Linked DNA regions of Drosophila melanogaster. Changing the gene in region 2 together with the main gene of any one other region gives a genetic interaction. Each region holds a gene or a part of one and is shown on either strand. Other genes may lie near its edges.

Region 1 (7,900 bases), on a different chromosome or scaffold from region 2:
ATAGGGAAATGTGATTAGTTTGGATCGAAAAATAAACCTTATCTGGTACTCACCACAAGGTGTAGGTCTTCTTGCGATCGAATAGCTGCAGGTCGCACAGCCAGCCAAGTCCAAGGCGCCCAATTAAATCTAGGACCGCGCTGATGGCCACCAGGTATCCCGCCTCACTTTTATTGTATCCTAAAGATGAACCAAGTTTATAATATTTAAAATCGTACGCCGAAAGAATATACTTTGAACATTTTAAATAGTATACCTATTGAAATAACGTGGGCGGGCAGATAGTACAACATGTAGGGACAGCCGACGGACATCAAGGTGACGGATAGGCACATCAGGATAAAGCTCGGGTCCTGCAGCAGACTGATGTCCAGGTACATCTCGATGCGCTCGCAGCAAGTGCGTGGTCCCCGCTCTTCGTCGTCATCGTCATCCTCATCGGCGGCAAGGTGGCCGTCGCCATCGATAATGGACTCCACCAGCTGGGAGTCTAGAATGCCGAGCTCCGCCTGCTCCACCGGCTGCTGCTTGAGATCACTGAGGTTGCTAACCGGAGTGGGTATCTCCATGCTCTTGCTGAGTCCGCGACTGACCACACTCGGCGGCGAAAGAGGCTTCTCCAAGTGGGCTTGTATCTTGGATATCACCTCGTCGTTGGCAAAGACATTGCGCCGACGACGACTTCCGCGATTGGAGTCCGTGCCGGAGTGCTTGCGATAGACCCAAGTGGAGTCCGTGCTCAGATCTTCGACGGAGTGCAGCAATCCGGAACTGCGCACCTTCTTCATGGGCTTGATGAAAGTGGTCTCGCCAATAATATCCTTTACCTCGTCGTCACTCTCCTGCGCTGACTTGTCCTGGGCTAAGTAACCAAATGGGATTTATTATTTGGAGTTTTCCTCGATGAAATAATACTCCCACCTGGCTGCTTGCTGGCATAGTAGTTCAGGTGGTTCTTGGACTCCTCCAGGAACAGATGCTCGATAAACTTGTCGCTCAGCTCGTGGCCTGCACCCACATCGCAGGTGTCTAGGTAGGTGGATGTAGTCAGAATGCCCGTGGTGCTCGGATTGATGTCTTCGTTGAGGGGCTTTGCCGTCTCCTCCTGTCCCTGGCCCGAGTCCTGATCCGTGTAAGCACTGATTGGGCGGTAAAGTGTGGCCGAAACGCACACGTGAAGCATGCAACCGCCCAGGATCAGAATAGTGCCGTGGAAGCCACAGTTCTCCGCGAGGTGCTTTATCAGAACGGGTAGGATGAAGCTGCCGGCGGCAGTGCCCGAAACGCAGATTCCATTGGCCAATGCACGGTGCTTGTCAAAGTATTGGGACACTATCACTATGCCCGGAGTAGTCGAGAGGCCACCTCCAATACCTGGGCGTGAAGAAATAGTTAAATATAAACATCATGATAACTAAATAAATATAATTACTAATGTGATGAGGATAAATTTAAATTGATTATACATTATGCACCTGTGAGTACGCCAAATGTTAGGAGGAGGTGCAGCAGACTGGTGGCAAAGTAGCTCAGTATCATGCCCATGGCGCAGAAAATGCCGCCGACGAAGACCACCGTTCGGCAGGAGAATCGCTGGCAAAGAGCACTGGACAGCGGGGCCAGGACCAGACATAGAGCCGACAGGATCGCTGGAATCCAGGAGGCCACGGTGGCCGTAGAGCTGGGAAATGTCTCCATAATCTCCACATACAGCACGCCGTACGACTTGACCAGTCCGGCCACCCAGAATTGCACGGAGAAGGCCCCAAAGACGATGAACCAACCGTAACCGCCGTCCGGTGGCTCCACATTCGGACCACCGCTCTCCGTTGTGGTCGTTGAGGAGTCCCGATCCTTGACCACTTGCTTGCTACGCCTGGCGACGGTCACGCGATCCCGCTCGCGCTCCTTGGCCCGGCGGACGCACCTGCTGCGGGCCGTATTCAAACCAGATCCGGAACCTGAACCCGACTTCCGACTGCTGCGAAGCTCATGCGATTTGGCAATCAACGGTCGCGCCGTGATGCTGGACACGGTCAGCAGGTTCTCATTGTCGTCCTCCTCCAGCTCGGAGATCTGATGCTCCAGCAGGCTGGCGTGCAGGGTCCTCGGGCAGCATTGCGTGTCCAGGCTGAGGGTGGCGGGTCGTCGCATGGGCGAGGCGTTGGGTGAACAGCATCCGGAGCGGAAGGCGGCGGACTCCATGTGTTTGCCATCCATCTCGGTGGGCACAACGATGTCGGGCAGTGGAGCCGGCGGCGCTGATACCACCGAGAACAGGGAGCCGCATTCGAGGCCGACTCCGCCACCGGACCCGTCCACGCCCGCCCCTCCGCCGGAGCCCTCAGCCGTCTTCGTGTGGAGAAGGCACCCTCCCGACTCGTACTGGACTCCACCAGTTGGGTCCGGTTCACTCGCGCAGTAAACCGATCCCCGGGAACCCTGCGAAAAACATAAATAGTATTTTTGTATCGTTAAACATTAAATATGCTGGTTATCTAGTGCAATATTTAATATAAATCTATGAAAGTGTGTTTAAGATATGGAGTATGGAGTATGGAGGGATGTTTTTTTTAAATAACAATTAAATAACATAACAAGTTAACGAAGTAAGCAACCCAAGAAAATGGGCCAATTTAATTGCGAAAGTTCTTATCAAGTAGTAGACATCAAAAGTTAATGTCCCAAATTGGCGTGCATCCAAAAATTCCGCCTCCGCCGTAGCATTCAAAAATGGGTTAAACCCCGTCAGAAATCCGGGGCTGTTGACAAATCGACTGGAGGCGGGTCAAGGAAGCAACAACTTAGCCCAATTTGCATTGCTAAACGAAATGCGAGGAGCGCACGCGATCTGCCGCCTTATAGACGACATCGCTGCAACGACCTAATGTATGCAATACGTTTTGTTTAATTGAGTTAACATCCAGTTCCTTCCCGATTCCCGCTCCGCTGGGCTATGTAATTACCCGCGGACCGAGCGGATTTTCTTGTTATATGTACTTTGTTAAATCGATGCCAGGCTGCAGGTGCATGCTGTGCCTTGCGGGCTGGCATGACGTCTGGGAATTTTCCATTTGTCTGCGGGATCCGCTGCCACTTCCTCCCACGAAACCTCCATTTTCCGACGACTCAGGGTCAAGAGCGAGGTGGGTCTGGTCTGGCATGCGGTTGCCTTTCAGCACTTTTTTAGTTTCTGTCTTTGTTGCCGGAAATTGATGGGGGGTTCGATTGGCCCCAAAGGAGCAGTGGTGGGTGTTTGCTCCAATCCAAGGACGATGCAATGCTCGAACCGAAGGCTAATGCCAGGAAATATACCCGTGCTGATAAGACGCCAATCTTTGCCAAGCCCTCGTAGAAAGGACACAATTGGAAAGCAGTCAAAAACGAAATTCGGTAAGTTGATGTAAGGTATTATTGGGTTTACAGCCATGCCAACAGCTCAACTATACATACTAACTAATATATACATTTAAAACTTTATGTTATATGTGCACAGTTAATATTTTTACCTCATATTGAACTATTCCTAATTAGATTTCAACACCTGCCCCCTTAATATTTATGTGCTGTCGCAATCTTATTGTTATAACCAACAGTTCGTAATAACTCATTTCCTAATAGCTTCTTATTTCGCACTTAGTTGTCCCGCTCCCACCTATTTCTTGGTACTTCCAATGACGTACGTATACGAAATATGATACATTGCTGGCATCAAATATCAAGTATGCGACGTGTGTGCCCATTAGAAAGAAGGATTGGTGCCCAACGCTGGTTAAACCTATGCACAATATATTAGGTGAAGCGCTCTATCCTTAGTCAACCTTTTTATTTGCTTTTACTTAAGTATCCTATCTAAGCATGTCAGTTCTTAATGAGCAAATAATCAATAATTATTATAACGAATAAATATTGCATGGTAAATGTAACAAATCATAACATCACTTATGCTTAATAAAGCCAAGTAAATTTATATAATTGAATTCTAACTTTGAAAGTAAATTTAATAAATTTGTCTTTTGTTTACGTGGCATGTCATTTGTCGAACTTCGTGCCGCTTATGAACTGTCAGCCATATTGATGGTAGAAATATGCCAAATAGATGGCATGCAATATTCTTGAACGAGTGCAAAATGCAGTCACACATCTGACACGACTAATGAGCGTTGGCCAACTCTTGGCATTTGGCAACTCCCCCTCAAGAGCATGAGTCACAGCATCCTAGAGCCAGTGACCTTGTCGAATGTCAAAGGCCCACGTCGCCGTGGCATGCGATGGTATACGATATCCTGGACGCCAAGAACCCCCAAGACCACCCTCTGCTGTCAGCTGGAATCCGGCTTAAGCTGTCAGGAAGCTTTCGCTGGGGCAGCTCTGCAATCGCTGGTTGTTTTCAATTTCCCAACATTTCAAGGCCTTTGCCAGCGCTTAATGAAACGGAAGAACCTTCCCCCGGGCCAAGTTAGTTGGCGCTCGTGTGTGGGCCTGAACGATAAGCGGTCAAGGTGAAAGGGGTGGCCTCAAGTCGGCTGGTCGAGGGTGGTATCTAGTCGGGGAGGGAATCTAGTGGGGAGGACTTGACGCACAACTTGTTGAGCCACCCGTAATTGCTAGCCCTCCGTAATAATAGATATTAGGTTGCACAGGCCTAGGCCAATTAGTTCACCCAATCAGCAGGACATTGATGCTTAAGTGTAGGGATGCTGTACTCCCATATGCGAGTGTAAACACCTACTTAAATTTGGCTCAAAATTCATGTTTTAAGTGTTTACAAAATCAACGATTGTAAGTGTAAGTATAATTATAAGCATAATAAAAAGTTACTTTTCATTTGTGTCAAAACTAGTAGAAATGAACACTTCTATTCGATTTAATAGGTGTCATTAAAGGTCAACACCATGCCACGACTGAACTTTGGCTTGTGGTTTTCGGTCTTTCCATCAGCAGTCGGGGCATGTATTGTTTACTTTCTTGTCCCCGTTCTTCTAAAGCGACTAAGATGGATGCAACTTGTGACGTTGACCCATTCTCCTGTCGCTTGCAATGTTTACGTACTCGTAAAACACTCTCTGGTCCAGTGCGCATGCTCACCAGAGGAACCCAAACTCCAGCTACCTCAATACGATTGCCATTGGCCCACTCCCCAGAAAAGGCAGCGAGGAGGAATCAAGGGGGATGGTTCCTGACCTTCCCAAAGTAAGGATAATGGGATGCTGGGTAGTACTACTCACCTGTAAATGCCAGTCACGCTGTAGGGACGACATTGCCGTCCTTTACTGAACGTGAAACGCCTTTGATGTTTCTCTTGTTGCTCGCGCTGTTGTTGTTGTTGCTTGGGGCGTTGTTGTTGTGCACCCAAATGCATTGGGTTGCCTCTGCTTTGGGTCCTTAAAGTCCTGAAGAGCTGACGTTCGCGGGCCTTCACCGGTTGGCCCAAAATAAATACTCTCTTGCTACTGCTGCTTCTGCCGGAACGGCTCCTTTGGCACTGAATCCTTTGCGGGTTCGTCTTGATGGTTTGTTCTCCGAATCGATTGCGATTTTCGTTCGCTTTTTCTTGAGGGCTTCCTTGAGGAACTTGTATGGGTTTTCCTAGGGGCAATATCCTTGCTGCTCTGGCGTCATGATGCGTTGATGTGACACACAGTATTCCCTGTTACTATTGTTTATGCAGCAGCTGTTTCCGCTTCCGCTTCCTTGTCGCCCCCTTCCGTATCCGTTTTCGGCACAAGCGCACTCTCTCACTCACTCGCTGGCGAATATGCAGTTTTTGGAACAAATCGATATGGGGCGAGATTCCAGCTGAAGTCCTTTGTTCTTAGCTTACTCAATCACAATCGAACGAATTGGATCCTTCCAGTGAGTTAAATTGGTTAAAAATACGCCTGAAGCTATTGAACACTTTCTCTGATTGGGAAAACCCTTTGCAAAAGCCTTTTTATTTTTCGTGAGTACTCTTCGTTTGTTGCCCTTTTTGGCGGATGCGACTGTTCTGCTGCTGCTCAAGCTCACGACTAAACTGATGATACTCATGTCCTCTGGAGGTCCATTGAAAACCCAACTCAGTTAAGGTGAACTTGGTGGTGGTGAGTTTCGGCATGGAAAAAGGAAAAACAAGAGTAAGAGGTCCTCTCTTCCTTTCCATTGGTTTTCATCCGTTTTGTTTTGCTAGGTTCTTTTGGCCGCCTGTTGCCAGAACCACCTACTTTTATTTCTGAAAACAGCTGATGAATGAATTACGAATTGCCTTACGAATTAAAGTCACACAAATTTAACAAATGTAACTTTACAATTTCTCATGCTAGATTTTCATATACCTATAATTTTTCAATTTTAATCAAAGTAGGTGTATTCGTTGCTCTTGATTACTGCACGGCAAATTTATAATATAAATCCAAAACTAAACGAGAACACTTTGCATTGCTCTATAGAGAAGTGCGTAGTTCTTCCAGGCTTTTGGTCATGTTCAACGCCACTCCAAGAAATATAAAGCTGATGGCCACAGATGAGAAAACGGCAGCCGGTAGGTTCTTGAGTAGCCACTGCAGGATCATCGTGTAGACGGCAATGGCCATGAGCAGCATGCACATGTATGGATAGGCCAGCCATTTAATGAACTGCAAAATCACAGGATTCTTAAGAATATTTCCTCAATTAATTTTGCTTCAGGTTAACCTTCCAAACTGCAATAATCAACAGGAGCGAGGATAATGCATAGAGAGCCGATCCGGTGGTCCACACAATCTTTACCGCTTCAGAGACACCTGATAAACTGGTCATGAAAAGATAGCCGGCAGCCACGCCCGATATACAGGATACGCAGGCCATAATGGAGACGATCAGCCTGCAAGTCGGCAAAAGTCTCTTATATGAGAATTCCTGTTCGCTCATGTGTTTGATGTATTTTAAGTCACTTAACACAATGGATTTTGAATTTTTTTATATTGAAAGCAAATCATTTTCATAAAAAAATTTTAATTGTTGTTTTTGAGTTGTTCAACAGTTTTCTTTGTTTGACGTTGAATAGTTGAAAATGTTCAAAACTTTCGCGCCCAAATAAGCTTGCTTATCGGTATTATTGATAAAGCGGCCATCGATAAGTTCTGCAATCGATTGCGATTAGCTTTTGGTATTTCGATTTTTTACGCAGGTTAATTTGCGCACAAGATTCCCAGACGTGATTAATGCTGATTTCTGGTCTGGACTACACAGCATTGCTGGTATAAGGAGTCGGGACCAGAGGAGTAAGATTTCGGGAAGGAATCCCGTCCGGTAGGGACTACTAGCATTCGCAAGTGACGTCCAGCAACCGGAGGACCCCCAACTGTAGAATCCGCATCACCATCCTAATCCCAACAAACCAATGACATCTTGAGACCTCACCAGCCATGGATCCCTTCGTGTTCTTCATAGTACTGGCATCGCTTTATGGCGTTCTTTACTTTTTCGACCGCTTCTTCAAGGTGTAGTATATCCAGCCAAAGTACGTCCAGATACTTAATGTAATCCCTTAGAGTTGCATGCACTACCCGTACGATGCCTTCCTCAAGAACACCGGGCTGAGTATAAATTTCATGAGCCTCCACTGGCACACGAGTGCCTTTAACAGGACCCTCCTACGCTGGGGATCTGCCGGTAACAGCTGCACCCGGAGAGTAATGATCACCAGCTTTAATGTAGGAGTCCTGGTCACCTTTTCTCTGCTCCCGATCGGTCTGATCCTGCTCATTGCCACTATCTTCAGCAGTGGTGAACAAGACAGCTCTTCGTCTGTATCCTCGCCCGTTGGAGTCCCTGTGCAGCTGGAAATTCTACTGCCCGGCGTCAACTTGCCGTTGGAGGAGATCGGATACTACATCACAACCCTTGTGCTCTGCTTGGTGGTGCACGAGATGGGACACGC
Region 2 (7,560 bases):
TGATCGGAACGATTGGCCCATCTGTGCCAGTCCATGATTATTAATGGCATTGGATGAACCGTTTCCAGACGAAAATCAAACGCCGGGTGCCAAAAAATACAAGTGGCATGCGAGTCCGCGAAGAACTGCTGAGCTAACTATATTTTTTAAAAGGTTGTCCATGCTGAACAAAAGGACAACATACCAAAAAAACTAAGCACAGTGCTAAAGTAATATGACTCTACCAGCAAGTTTTCCATTTCACAGATTTTTTCCCTTGAAGTGTGCCTGAGGAATTTATATTATTTTCTGTGTGTATTATTATTATACATATACATTCTGTTTTTGTATATATATATATAGTGCTTGGTAGCTCACCCTGTGATGCACCCGACTAACAAAACTCCGCCGACGCAAAATGACCGACGCGAATGGAAGAATATTTCATTTTATATAAGGAAAAAGATTGCATACGCTACTAATACGTTTTCCATGAATTATGTACATATTTAACAAATTAGGAGCATGCACCGGTAACCAATAAAAGGCCTTGTAAATCTGTTAAAATATTTATTGTTATAAATACGTTTAACAAGTACGGTAAATAATAAACAAATAAAATGTCCATATTAAATAATTTTAAAATTACAATCTAAGCATAACCGGGCGTGGAAAACAGAGGAATAGCGTAATTATAAAGACCTAGGCATTTGTAATTCTTTTGAATAGCAAACGGGTATTCATTTGCTGAAAATCCACACCACGTTCGTGCCACTTATTATGTACTTCACTACTATCCTAAGCCTTCACGCTGCCAATGCCGTTGCCCAGCGACTTCATCAGCTGGTAGCACTCCTTGAGCTTTCGCTTGTCGCCCACCTTCTCCAGGGTCTTGGCCGCCTCGGCTAACATGCCAGCACGTTCACCCGGGGAGCTGAGCAGCGCAGGCGGGAGATACTTGCAGGCCACGTACATGGCCGAAGCCCGTTCCCGCTCTCCGCCCACGAAGTTCTGCTGCCGCCGATCCTTGCTGCCGCAGAAGATGGACGAGTGGGCGTTGCGTGATCGCAGACTCCTGTCCAAGAGCTGTTGCGTTGGACACGGTGAGGCTCCAGCCATCAGGCGACAAACTGCCTCGTACAAATATATGCGCGATTGGGCGTTCTGTAATGGCAAAAGTTTACACAAGCTCAGGTTACGGAACAGACATATTGGAAGGGTAAGGATTTGCATATACCGGTATATTCTCCACAATGTTGCGCAACGAGTTCAAATCGGTCTGGAACTTCTCGAGCACTTCACCTGGCACTTGGTAGAAGCCATCGTCCTCCATATTCATGTGTTCCAGTTCCCACAGAGCAGTCCTAGTTTCGAGCAGCCAATCGCAGGTAAGCAACTGGAAAAGCTGCATAGAAGAAATAATGATTAGTGCGCTCTTAAAACTTGGCGACTTTTGCCAGAGACATTCGGCGTTGTATGTGAAATGCACAGAGCTTGCACTGAAGTTGTATTGCCTGAAGCAATTGGGACAGACAATGCGACTACAATGCACCTTCGTGTCATCTCCAGAGGAAGAGTCTGGTGGCACTCAGTCGCCAAAAACTGATTGTTCGGGGTGCACACATTCTTACCAGCTTTATACCCTTGGCGTCGGTGATCCGGTTGACAGTCAAGCACTCTTGGAGCTCCACACTCGACTCATCGCAGAGGATGTTTACCAATTGCTTGAGACTTTTGTCCAGTGCGTTGCCATTGTTTCTGCAAAGGTGTGCGATGATTAGTTTTGTTCTTTTCATTAGTTGTTCTAGTTTTACTCACTTTAGTAAGATCATCTTAGCTCGCAGCACAGCATGCAGCGCCTTGGGCAGATGATCGTTTTCGCCGCACTGTTGCAGCTGCGTGGGCATTTGCTTGATCCTGCCGTACAATTGCTCGGCCAGCGTGTCTTCACCAAGGAGCCAGTGCACTGCGGTCTCCAAAACATCGGCCCACCACACCACGTTTGTATCCCGCTCATCCTCATCAGCCCAGAGAGTGTCCTTAAGGAGGGACGTGTACTTAAGAACATTGCTGACAATGGTGCCGCTGTGCTGCTGTTGCTGCAACTGTTCCGCCTCTCCGCTGACAGAAGATGTGGGCAGGCCTCCCGATTTGTGGCCCGCTCCTACCAGACACTGAATGGCTTTAAACAGCAAATGCTCTCGATATTGCTGATTATTGGAAAAGAAACAATTAGTTTTGAATTGTGTGCGATACACTAGAAATTCAGTCCAACTTACCTTAATGACGTGGGCAGCGGGATCACATGGATTCCTAAGACGTGTGAAGAATCCATCCTGCTCGCCGGAGTCGCTCAGATCGTACGTGAAGACGTGCGTGGCGCAGTAGCGATATCCATAGGCTGTGAATGCCCAACGTAGCTCCTGCGTTTGCTCGGTGGCCCTAGTGAGACCGCACTCTTGACGAGCCCGGCTCATGTAGTATCGGGCGAAGAGCTGTTGCAACCATTTTGGGGCACTGCGCTTCATTCGCAACGCTGTCATTACGTGGATGCAGATGGTCTCGCGCGGTGTCAGTAGATTGTGCGCCACTTCAGCCATGTTGCTTGCGAATAGTGCCATCATAATGCCGTTCATGTCACCGCGGCTTCCATTTCCAGTCAGTTGCAATTGATTCAGTCGGTTGAAGAGCAGGGCCAGTTCGCGTGCAGATGCCAGCGCCTGTTTCCTGCTGGCGGCGTTGCTAAACAGCCCACCGGACCGCCGTGACAGCACCCGACCCAGCCAGAGGCGATGGAAAAGAAAACGAAGGAACTGCCACGTGGTCTGCAAGTAACACTCCAAGCGCGACGCCGGTAGACTTAATCCAAACATATGCAGACAGTTGAGGTAACCGGCGTAGGCCTGAGACGACTGTCCTTGGCTAAAATAGAAGTCAGCCCGCTGCCTGTGCTGGCAGTAGGCGTCCGTTTGCGCGTCCAGCTGCGGATCACCGTAAACCAGCAATTTCACCAAGCATCCAAGCATCAGTGTGAAGTTCAATAGCCATATCCAGGAACTCTGCTGCCAGACAGCAAAACCTTCACCTAAATCAAGGAGAAACCCATTAGCAATATTTAACAACATCTGGATGCTAGGCTAGCTACCTTCCACGTCGTAAGAGAGAATGCGTCTTTGACCGCTCATGTCGCCAAGATCGTCATTACTGTCATAGTGGCCGCGCTGGAGAAAGGTCTTGAAGGGATTGACGGCCAGGATGGCGAACATAAACATGCAGAGTCCGAGGCGAGAGTGGGTGGCCATGCCGCGCATAGAGCTGGGCACCACCAGTGGTTCTTCATTGCTGCTGCTGCTGCCACTGCTACAGCTGGCGGTGGATCCACCATAGGGTGATGGCGGCAACGAGATGTCCGAGTGCATGGGCGAGAGCGAAGGATCCGATTCATCGCTGCGTGGCGGCGTCAGTCCGGCATCCGTGGTAAAGGTCTGCGAGCTCTCGCGGCGCTTCTTGGATGCTCTACCAGGCCGAGTGCCCAGCTGAAGTAAATCCTTCACCTTGGAGCCGTCGCGTGCCATTAGCTCCCTCTGCAGGCGCTGCAACTCTGCCTTCAGATCGTGATTCTGGCGTTGCAGATCCCGAATCTTGTCTATGGATTTCCGCAACACTGCGGACTTGTTCAGCTTGGCCTGCTCTCCCACTACCAAGTTCTTCAACTCGTTAATCTTGTCGTTGATTGAGGTGCGATAGCGCCGCTCGATGGCGTTGTGGGCCGAGCGCTTTACTTCCTTCACCTTGGGTTGAACCCGGTTGATAGGTACCTTGCCCTGGACTTCCATAGCGGCAGGTGACGGAGCCAGTGGTGCCACTCGCACCTTGCTGGCCCGACTACCTGTGCTTGTCGGTGGTGGAGCCACAGGTGGAGATGGGGTTGGACTGGCTACCGTGGGCTGCAAGAGGAAGTACATGGCTTCATCGGAAGTCATTCCGGCCTTAGAGTTGTACGTAATGAAGGGTTGCGGATACGACTGCTGGGGCAAAGGAGCAGAAGCGGGAGCAGGAGTTGCAGCAACGGGCTGCATGACATTGACATTCTGGTTCGCAGACTCCACCGGCGACGTGGGCGGGGACATGGACTGGTAGACAAAGCTACTGCCCAGAGATGGGGGATACACCGCCGTGTTCGGCGGCATCCGCTGGGCGTCCATGTGATGTATGGTGGCTGTTGGTTGGGCGGCCTTCAAAAGGCCCGTCGGCTGTTGCTGGGGACAATTGTAGCTTGTGGCTATGAGGGGATCTGGTTTGTAGACGAGAAGCGGCGACTGTTGTTGCTGCTGATGCAGTTCCTCCTTGATGTGCACTGGCGAAGAGTGCTCGCTTTTCACGTGCGGCTGTTGCTCGACGGATTGCGGCTGCTGATCCACGGACTGCGTCTGCTGGGTATGCGTTCGAGGCTCGTCCAGCAGCATGTTGTACATCTGCGTCGGCGCCAGGTCCATGTCGTTGAGGATGATGTCCAGCATGTCCGAGTGCAGGTCGGCGTCGAACGGTTCGAAGACATCCTCCGCTTTGAACAAATCCATGGACTCGTCCAGCGGAGCGTCTATTAAGTTCATCAGTGTCGTGTCCATTGCGAATGCTGCTGATGAAAGGGACAAAAACGGTTCGTAATTAAATACTGGCGGGCCCACGTATGTGCATATTTATGTATGTATGTTTGTACATTTGAGGATTGTTTATTAAAGTTCTATGCGGCGCAATAACAACAGTGGGACAAGTATGTTGGTGCCGGAAAAAACAAATATTAATATGTTTATAATCACATTAATTCATTTAATTACCCTTTTTCCACAGTGGCCACTTGCAGCTTTAATAACAGATTAAAAGGGGTTTTTATAATTAAATTTGTAATATACGTAACAAAGTTAAAATAAATCTTTTAATTGTACTCAAACCTAAAGTGAATCACAGTCGGACCTGAAAATGGCATATGTGTTAACTTGTTTTTGTTTGTTTGTTGTTTGCTCGTAGTTAAAATAGGAACAAAATATAATATCTTGAGATCATTTTGGCTATATCAAGTTTTGCTAGACTAATGCAAATTGCAATAGAGGCGAATATTTTTAAACGGTCTAAGCTTTTACTTCGCTTTTGGCCCACTGTGCACTGCACACACACATACGCGACCGGGAAAGCATGCGTAAGCGCTTTCAACCAATCAGAGGGCTCGACCGGATCATACGATGTTTTTAGTGACGCCACTTGGCCTTTGGGAGCTCCAACAGGGCATTTTCCCAGGCTCCACTGGTTTCCCGATCTGATTTCCGCGAAAATTAATCTATTAGACACTATCTACATTATTAGCAGAAAAAGAAACGCACCTTTACCACCTTCTATCTGTTTTCTTAGTTCACGTGTGCTTTTGTTTTTCCATAACTGGTTAATGTCAACGCACTTTGCTTTAAACTAGCGACTAGTTAGTAATAGTTGCAACACTTGTTGTTCATGGTTGTTTTGATTTTTTTCACGAGTATATTTGCAGCTTAATAAACAATTGCTTTCGATTGCAGTAAACTTTGTTCTTCAGGGATGACGAGCAGTAGTTCGGGCCTAAGGAACTGGTTCAGGTCTTGACTCCCTGGCATCAAGAAACAGCTGTATTACTTACAATGCCTGTATAGAAATATATATATTTAATAGTTTATGATGTATTTTATAAAACTGCCATAAAATATCAACGCTGATTCTGACACGCAGAGTAAGGAAATAAATTCAACATGTATAAGTGTAATTTAAAATATGCGGTTGTCCTCGCTGAGCGTGGTGGATGTCACCGCTACCTACATTCAAGAGAATAATTAAGAGAGCGCCAGAGCCGTGTGACCGCGCTAGAATTACTTAAAAATACCAAGGAATGTTGAAGACAAAAAGTTCCGGTAAATTGGCACAACGCACTGGCCACACTGCTACATCACATATTCAAAATCGGGTAGGTAGTCGCGACGGAAAACGGGAAACGCGGACGAATCGCGGAGCCAGAGAAGCGGTAAATTCGAAATAACCGTTTGGAAAGAGCAACATGATGAGGTTCTTTATTCGTTTTTAGTAAAATGGTACAAAGTGAATATGTGATTTAATTGATAACCAGCATGGGCGCCGTCAGTGTTAATTGCGTTCTGAATTGCTCTTTCGAAAACGCAGACACAAATGCACACACACAAAGTAGCGGCACCCACACGATCGCAATGGCAAAAGTGCTGCAGTGATAAAACAAATGCACAGCCATAAAGGCAAAGTCGGAAAAGTTTCACAATGCACTGGCGGCCCATGCATAAAAATGTACAATTTGGCGCTCTTTGCACTTGTCACGTCGTTGGAAAAGCAAAAAAACCTACCAACCAACAACAATAGGAACATAAACTGAAACAAAAAGAAAACCATTTTTGCTTCGCGCTTTTGTTTTTGTTTGGACCGCCGCTCACGCACTTTCGCGCTCACACGCAGAAACTTTTTGCATTTGTTTTCTTCACCCGTTGCATTATCACAACAACTGATCTCCTCTGCCCTCTCTCTGATGCTCTTGCTCACACTTGTTCGCTCTGTCTCGCCAGGGTTGCCATTTTCGACCGACAAACTTGCACTTGCTACTATGAATAACCTTTAAAACGGTTTTATTTTGGCACAATCTTAGGATTTATTTACGATTTTTGCGATTTACCGCATTTGCTGTCTGCAACAGTTTACATTTTTGTTTACCTTTACGGTCGCCAATTGGAAATACTAACTGCAAATTTGGTTGCCTTAAGTGTAGGTGTATTGTTTTCAATATAGACGAAGCTTATTTATATCAAATGCCTATTATTTAAATTAAACTGAAAACATTCAACCAACGGTCATCAGGAAAAGTATCTTAAGAGGACTATTTCACTACTAAATCCTATTTTTTATATTTCTACTTCACCTTAGCTTATCAAAATCTTTATAAATCCGATTGTATGTATGATGCAGCATAATTTTATTATTCTCGGTAATATATGGATATGCTTCAAATCCAAATATACAGACTTTATTTATTCAATAAATTAGTTTAACCTAATGTTAAACTAAATATAAAATAACTAAAATTAGTTTAACCTAATGTTAAACTAAATATATTACCGAACGCTGTGATTATGACTCTGTTATTTACCAACTGTCTTGCAACTTGGAAATATTCCTGTATTAATCATTTCCTATTTTCCTTGATACAAAAGAGCCTTTATTTCACTGCAATATTGAGTCATCCAACAAGCTGTTGTTGTAGATTTGGTCCGATTTTTCTATTTCTTCTTCTGACTGTTCTCATACTCTCTGTGCTTCTGTTTCTCCGGCTTTCTGCATAAATTACATTTTCCGTTTGGACTTTGCCAGTTTTGCTAGTGTTAGCACCTCCTTGGCGAAAAGTTTCCAACGGAAATTGTCAGCAGAAAATGAAAAACTCCCATGTAAATACTCCGCAAACGCACACACGCACGAGCTCAGCGGAATACACACCAATACACACGCACACACTAGCAGCGGCAGCGCTTAATAAAGATTAACGCA
Region 3 (4,822 bases), on a different chromosome or scaffold from region 2:
AAGGCCCCTCACCCGGCCACAAAATAATCCCAACACCCGGCACATTCTCACATGTGTGTTTTGTGTGTTCTCTGCGATTCTCGAAGTGAAAATGGTATAGTAGGGATTTGGGTTAGGGAATGGGAAATGGAAATAGGAGTGGGTAGCCCAATGGAATAGGAATACGAACGGGAATGGGAATGGGAATGTCAATCTCCGGCGCAATCCCCATACCATGTCCATGTCGCTTTCCTATGCAAAGCGTTTAATGCACATTTCAGACCATTTCTAGGCACTTCTCCCCTCCTCTCCTCTCGACCCTGCTCTTCACTTCACTTCTTTTATTTTATTATATTTTTTGTTTAATTTTGTTTTTTGTTTTCGATCTTGTGTGTTGTTCGAGTCTCTGATTTTTGTGCTCAGCCAAATAAACTCACGTACTTCAAGCCGACTCCCACCAAGTGGTGCCTTCCGTGAACTGAAGTGGTGGCCCGAGAGGAGTGCACTGCGGTGCACTGGAGAAACCCAAAACCAATCCCAGAAATTCTCTTGGGCAAACTGGCCAATGGTTCCAGTTTCAGTCCCCAAATGCTAATGCCACTTGGGTGTGCTGTCAAACAAGACAAGTGGCTGACACACGATCTACGCGGAGGAGGCGGAGTTGGGTTCAACTAAGATAAAAAATGACAATTCAATAATGAAAATGCATGGTTATAAGCAAAATGCTTATCTACATAAATTATTGATTGGCTTTGTTTTTGGCGGCAAGAAATTAGTGCACACCTGAATGTTGATAAATAAAACTATTGATATAATATCATATCATAATCATATTGCTTTGTTAATTCCCCATTTTTTTTTTTCTGAATATTCATTGTGAAGTGTCAGAAGGCAAAATAACACTTCTAAGTTTTTCATTGAAAAACCCCTCTAACTATCTACGAGTATCTGACATATAACAGTCTGCCTTTTTTTTAGGCTTATCACCCCTTGAGATTCTGGACTTATGTACAGACCTTTGCACCGCCTCCTTGTCCATTGCAAATTTGCGAAAGGTGGATAGACCATTATACATCATCATCATCATCGCACAAACACGTAAGCAGTAGGCTTAGAACTGTTGATTCAATTGAGAATCAAACTAAATGCGAAATTTACCATCAATTTTCCAGATGAATGCGCACGAATGTGCTTCCATATGAAGGCCAAAATGTGGGGGCGCACAGGTGATTCCATTGTTTACCCCATTGCGAAATGCAACAGGTTATCTGGTGGGGAGTTAAGTCGGAATTTCAGACAGAGCATTTCACTTCTGAGCCGATTGCAAATACTATGGAAACCTTGGCAACCAGCAATGGTTATCAACGGCCAACAATATTTGGTTGCTCTTGAATGCCTCGGATGCCTTTTAATCAAATAATCGGTCAATTATAATCCAGGACTCTAGTTAAATCGGTATGTTTTCATAATTAAGCGCTTATGTTTGCTTATGCATTCATGCTCATTTTGGTGCACACCAAAGGATTTACAAAGTATTTTTTACCATAAAGTTGCAAAAAGCAGTAGTGATTACAAAACAGATTATAGATTATGTGCCTATATATATATATATATAGAATACACATTTATAAGTTGAACATGTACATATTCAATGCAGCACTTACATATTGAAATGTGACTTGCAGTGTGGGAAAAATACAGTCTCCTTGATTCAGAATATGCAATTTGGTGCTGTTAAAGCTTTCGATTACTTTCTACAATTAACCTAATTTACTGGTCCACCCTAATGGCGGCGCCATAAATGCATTCCCGCTCTCGAAAACGTGGACTCCTTCCATTCCGGCTTCGGCACCCGGACACACGGATTTCCAGATTCAGGACAGCACCTGAGGCCTGTCAGGCGGCGGGGTGGCGGTGGCTTTGAGGAAGGGGGAAGAGCAAGGCACCAGCACATCATAAAAATGTGTAATTCAATTTGGTAAACATTTTCTGCTCCCCGTCGATGGTTAGATGAAAAAAAAATGCACATGAAAAATGCTGAAACCTTTGGCAAAACTCAATTTGGTTCCGGGATCAGATCAGACTGGGCAGGGGATTATGGTTTGGACTAGACGGATTCCACCCACCATGTGAACTAATCACTTGGCCAGTGGTTATTATGGAAACTTCAGCTAATTCTTAAACTCAATTTGGGTTCTCACACTCTCTCACAGAGAGAGAGAGAGAGAGAAATCCTATAAGGTTTAATTCACGAATTTCCAAATCACACGTTTTTAATGCCTTCTAATTACGGTTTATGCTCAAAAGCAAAGCTTCTGAAAATCCCCTACCCCCAAAACAGTGGGCTACATTTGTCTTGGGCATAGTTTGAAAATTTCACAAAATCTTATTAATCTTCTTAATCTTCTTATATTGAATCACAAATAACAGTCACACATCACGTAAATTAAAAGCATGATTACTTTCTTAAAACGCGTTCCTATCGGTATAGTACATATGTATATTTGCAAATGCAATAAATTCTTGTTCAGTTCTTTTGCCACACTTAACTAACATCTTCACTTGTTGATCGACACGAGACTTACGGTGGTAACTTGTTGCCAATTTGCCTTCGGGTGTGTTGGAAATCACAGGTTAGCCAGATGTCTTGATGATCTGCTAATTCTAGCACTTTTCCCCCTGCGCTGTGTGCAGCACAGAGATTTCAAAAATATATGCACAGTAACAAAAAGAGAGTTCAAATACGACGACGAAACACGACGGATACGGATAACAAACAGCAAGTGCCGCAGAACGGAACAGCGTTAAAAAACAGCGTGTGGCTCAGCTGTTCTCTTCGGACGGCACACAATAATATTTGTACTGCTGCTGCTGCTGCTGCGCTTGGTGTTTCTAACAAACAATAACTCTTTCGTGGTAGCCAACTTCTTCTTTCGCTCCGTGTACGTCCGCTCGTTGGTGTGTTTACTGTTACGCGGCCAGCAGTCGACTTGCTGCTATTCCACTGCTGCGGTCTGCTTTATAGCATTCTCTACGCCAAAGCAAAGCAAAGTCACTGGCAAAGCAAAACGGCGGAACGAGAGCGAGATGGTCGGAGAGAGCTGGCCCGTACACTGAGAGAAATTTGCATTGGGCAAGCAAGAGAGAATGTAAATCTCTTGACCAAGGATCACATTACACATCACATGCTTGGCATGCTAGCAAATTCCCAATTTTATTTATTTTATATAATTACGTTGTTAAGCATAAGCTTATGAATGTTTCGGTTCTGAAATTCGTTAGCTTAAGTCCCTGGTACAAATTTGTAATTAACCGAAATTAATAAAATTTTTTTTTGCTCTGTACCGCCGGCGGAAGGCGGGAAGAGTGTGAACTTCTCTCTTCGTGCGTGGGCAGCGCCAGGATAGACGACGATGCACCGTAAGTGCAGCAGGAATCGCGGCAGAGGATGCAATGCAGCATTTAGCCATCCCAATTAGCAGTTGCCGGGCAATAGCCTTCCCTCTCTCTCCACCTGTCTCTTTCTCTGTCTCTCTGTCTTGGCCTGGGCGACCCCTCTCTATCGCACTCTCACAAGACCGGCTCAACAGTGGGCTGTGATGTGATTTGGCAAATGTGTTTACACCATCATGATGACGACGTAGAACTTGGACTGTTGAATAGATCCGCTCAGAGATCTTATTGCACTGAACAAAAATTCCGTTTCTTTTGACATGTTTTTGTTTAGCTTTGAGCTGAACACGTTTCTAAATTAATAAGAAATATAATAGAAATTATTATGCTTAACTAATTTTGGAAAAAGGCAAAATTATTGGCTCAAATTAATACAAAAATATAATAAGAATAAGAATAATTATCTGCGTTCAGAAATCATCTTATGGGAAAAAAGAGAGAGCTACAAACAGACAGAGAGAGAGAGAGAGACAGAGAGTAAGGGGAAAATAGATCTTTATAGAGCCGCTCTATGGCCGACCAACTGTTGCCACTTGCCGGCCACACAGCAAGTTCAAAGGTCGCAGGCCAGGTAGACAGTAGCCACTAATTGGTTGGTAGACAAATACCCATACACAGAGAACAATTTTGAACTTCGGTGCTGATGAATACAAAAAAATAAAAATGTATGCACAAACATATGCAAATGAATTTATAATTCATACCTGATATCTATTGCATATTTAGGTCCTTTAAAACATAAAAACATTAATGAACTCATGATTAACCAAAGTTAACTGTGTAGCAAAATTTGGTTGGGCTAGATTAAGTATTGAGTCCTCACTCGTAGCAACCCCTAAGAGGTTTTCTAGGGTTAACCACAATTAACGATCGTTTGGTCGCTCGTAAAAAAAAAGAACAATTACGATTTTATCCCTTCCTGTAATATTTTAAGGATTCCGTATATCCTATTTCTCATTTTTACGACGGCAATAAAGTAATTATGTAAACCATTTACCTTAATCCCCATCAATTTAAAGAAAAGAAAATCCAAGCTTTCGATCATTTATCAATTAGTAATGAGCCAGCCATCCTTCATTTGTCAATCCTTGCGGTCCCATCAATAAGTTACCAAGTGCACAGCGAATTAATTAATCTGACTCACGGTTCTATTTCGGTTTCACCGCATTGCTCCACTGTGCACTCTGCCCACTCTCTCTCTCTCTTTCTGGCTCGCCCGCGCTCTCTCACCCAACTCCCACTAGTTCTCCCCACATGAAAACTCCTTAGATACGACGACACAAGTAAGTCGTTTGTTCCGGCGGCAACCTATCGCCCCTGTCACCTTAACCTTGCACTTGGAGAAAGTGTGATGGCCAATGGAATATAGCATTGCTAGTTTTTGTTTTTA

What was found. Genes that interact genetically often act in the same process or in processes that back each other up.
Region 1: of SREBP (region 2) and Sln, changing one suppresses a phenotype caused by changing the other (phenotypic suppression), as found in Drosophila melanogaster (one study listed by BioGRID).
Region 3: of SREBP (region 2) and out, changing one suppresses a phenotype caused by changing the other (phenotypic suppression), as found in Drosophila melanogaster (one study listed by BioGRID).

What each region holds. Positions count from the first base shown.
Region 1 is NT_033778.4:11,843,439-11,851,338, reverse strand, and holds the start of Sln (silnoon), read right to left. Parts: upstream 6,016-7,900; 5' UTR 5,262-6,015; coding exon 5,229-5,261; intron 2,443-5,228; coding exon 1,476-2,442; intron 1,375-1,475; coding exon 922-1,374; intron 863-921; coding exon 257-862; intron 181-256; coding exon 54-180; intron 1-53. Other genes in the region: CG43190 (uncharacterized protein), read right to left, coding at 6,423-6,614, 6,673-6,825; S2P (site-2 protease), read left to right, coding at 7,386-7,460, 7,512-7,900.
Region 2 is NT_037436.4:19,791,957-19,799,516, reverse strand, and holds SREBP (sterol regulatory element binding protein), read right to left. Parts: upstream 5,583-7,560; 5' UTR 5,358-5,582; intron 5,294-5,357; exon of another isoform or gene 5,192-5,293; intron 4,954-5,191; 5' UTR 4,818-4,953; intron 4,619-4,817; exon of another isoform or gene 4,616-4,618; 5' UTR 4,608-4,615; coding exon 3,125-4,607; intron 3,065-3,124; coding exon 2,259-3,064; intron 2,190-2,258; coding exon 1,798-2,189; intron 1,738-1,797; coding exon 1,611-1,737; intron 1,557-1,610; exon of another isoform or gene 1,458-1,556; intron 1,385-1,457; coding exon 1,217-1,384; intron 1,144-1,216; coding exon 778-1,143; 3' UTR 538-777; downstream 1-537. Other genes in the region: Ir76a (ionotropic receptor 76a), read right to left, coding at 1-133, 185-239.
Region 3 is NC_004354.4:19,319,092-19,323,913, forward strand, and holds the start of out (outsiders), read right to left. Parts: upstream 3,016-4,822; 5' UTR 2,565-3,015; intron 1-2,564.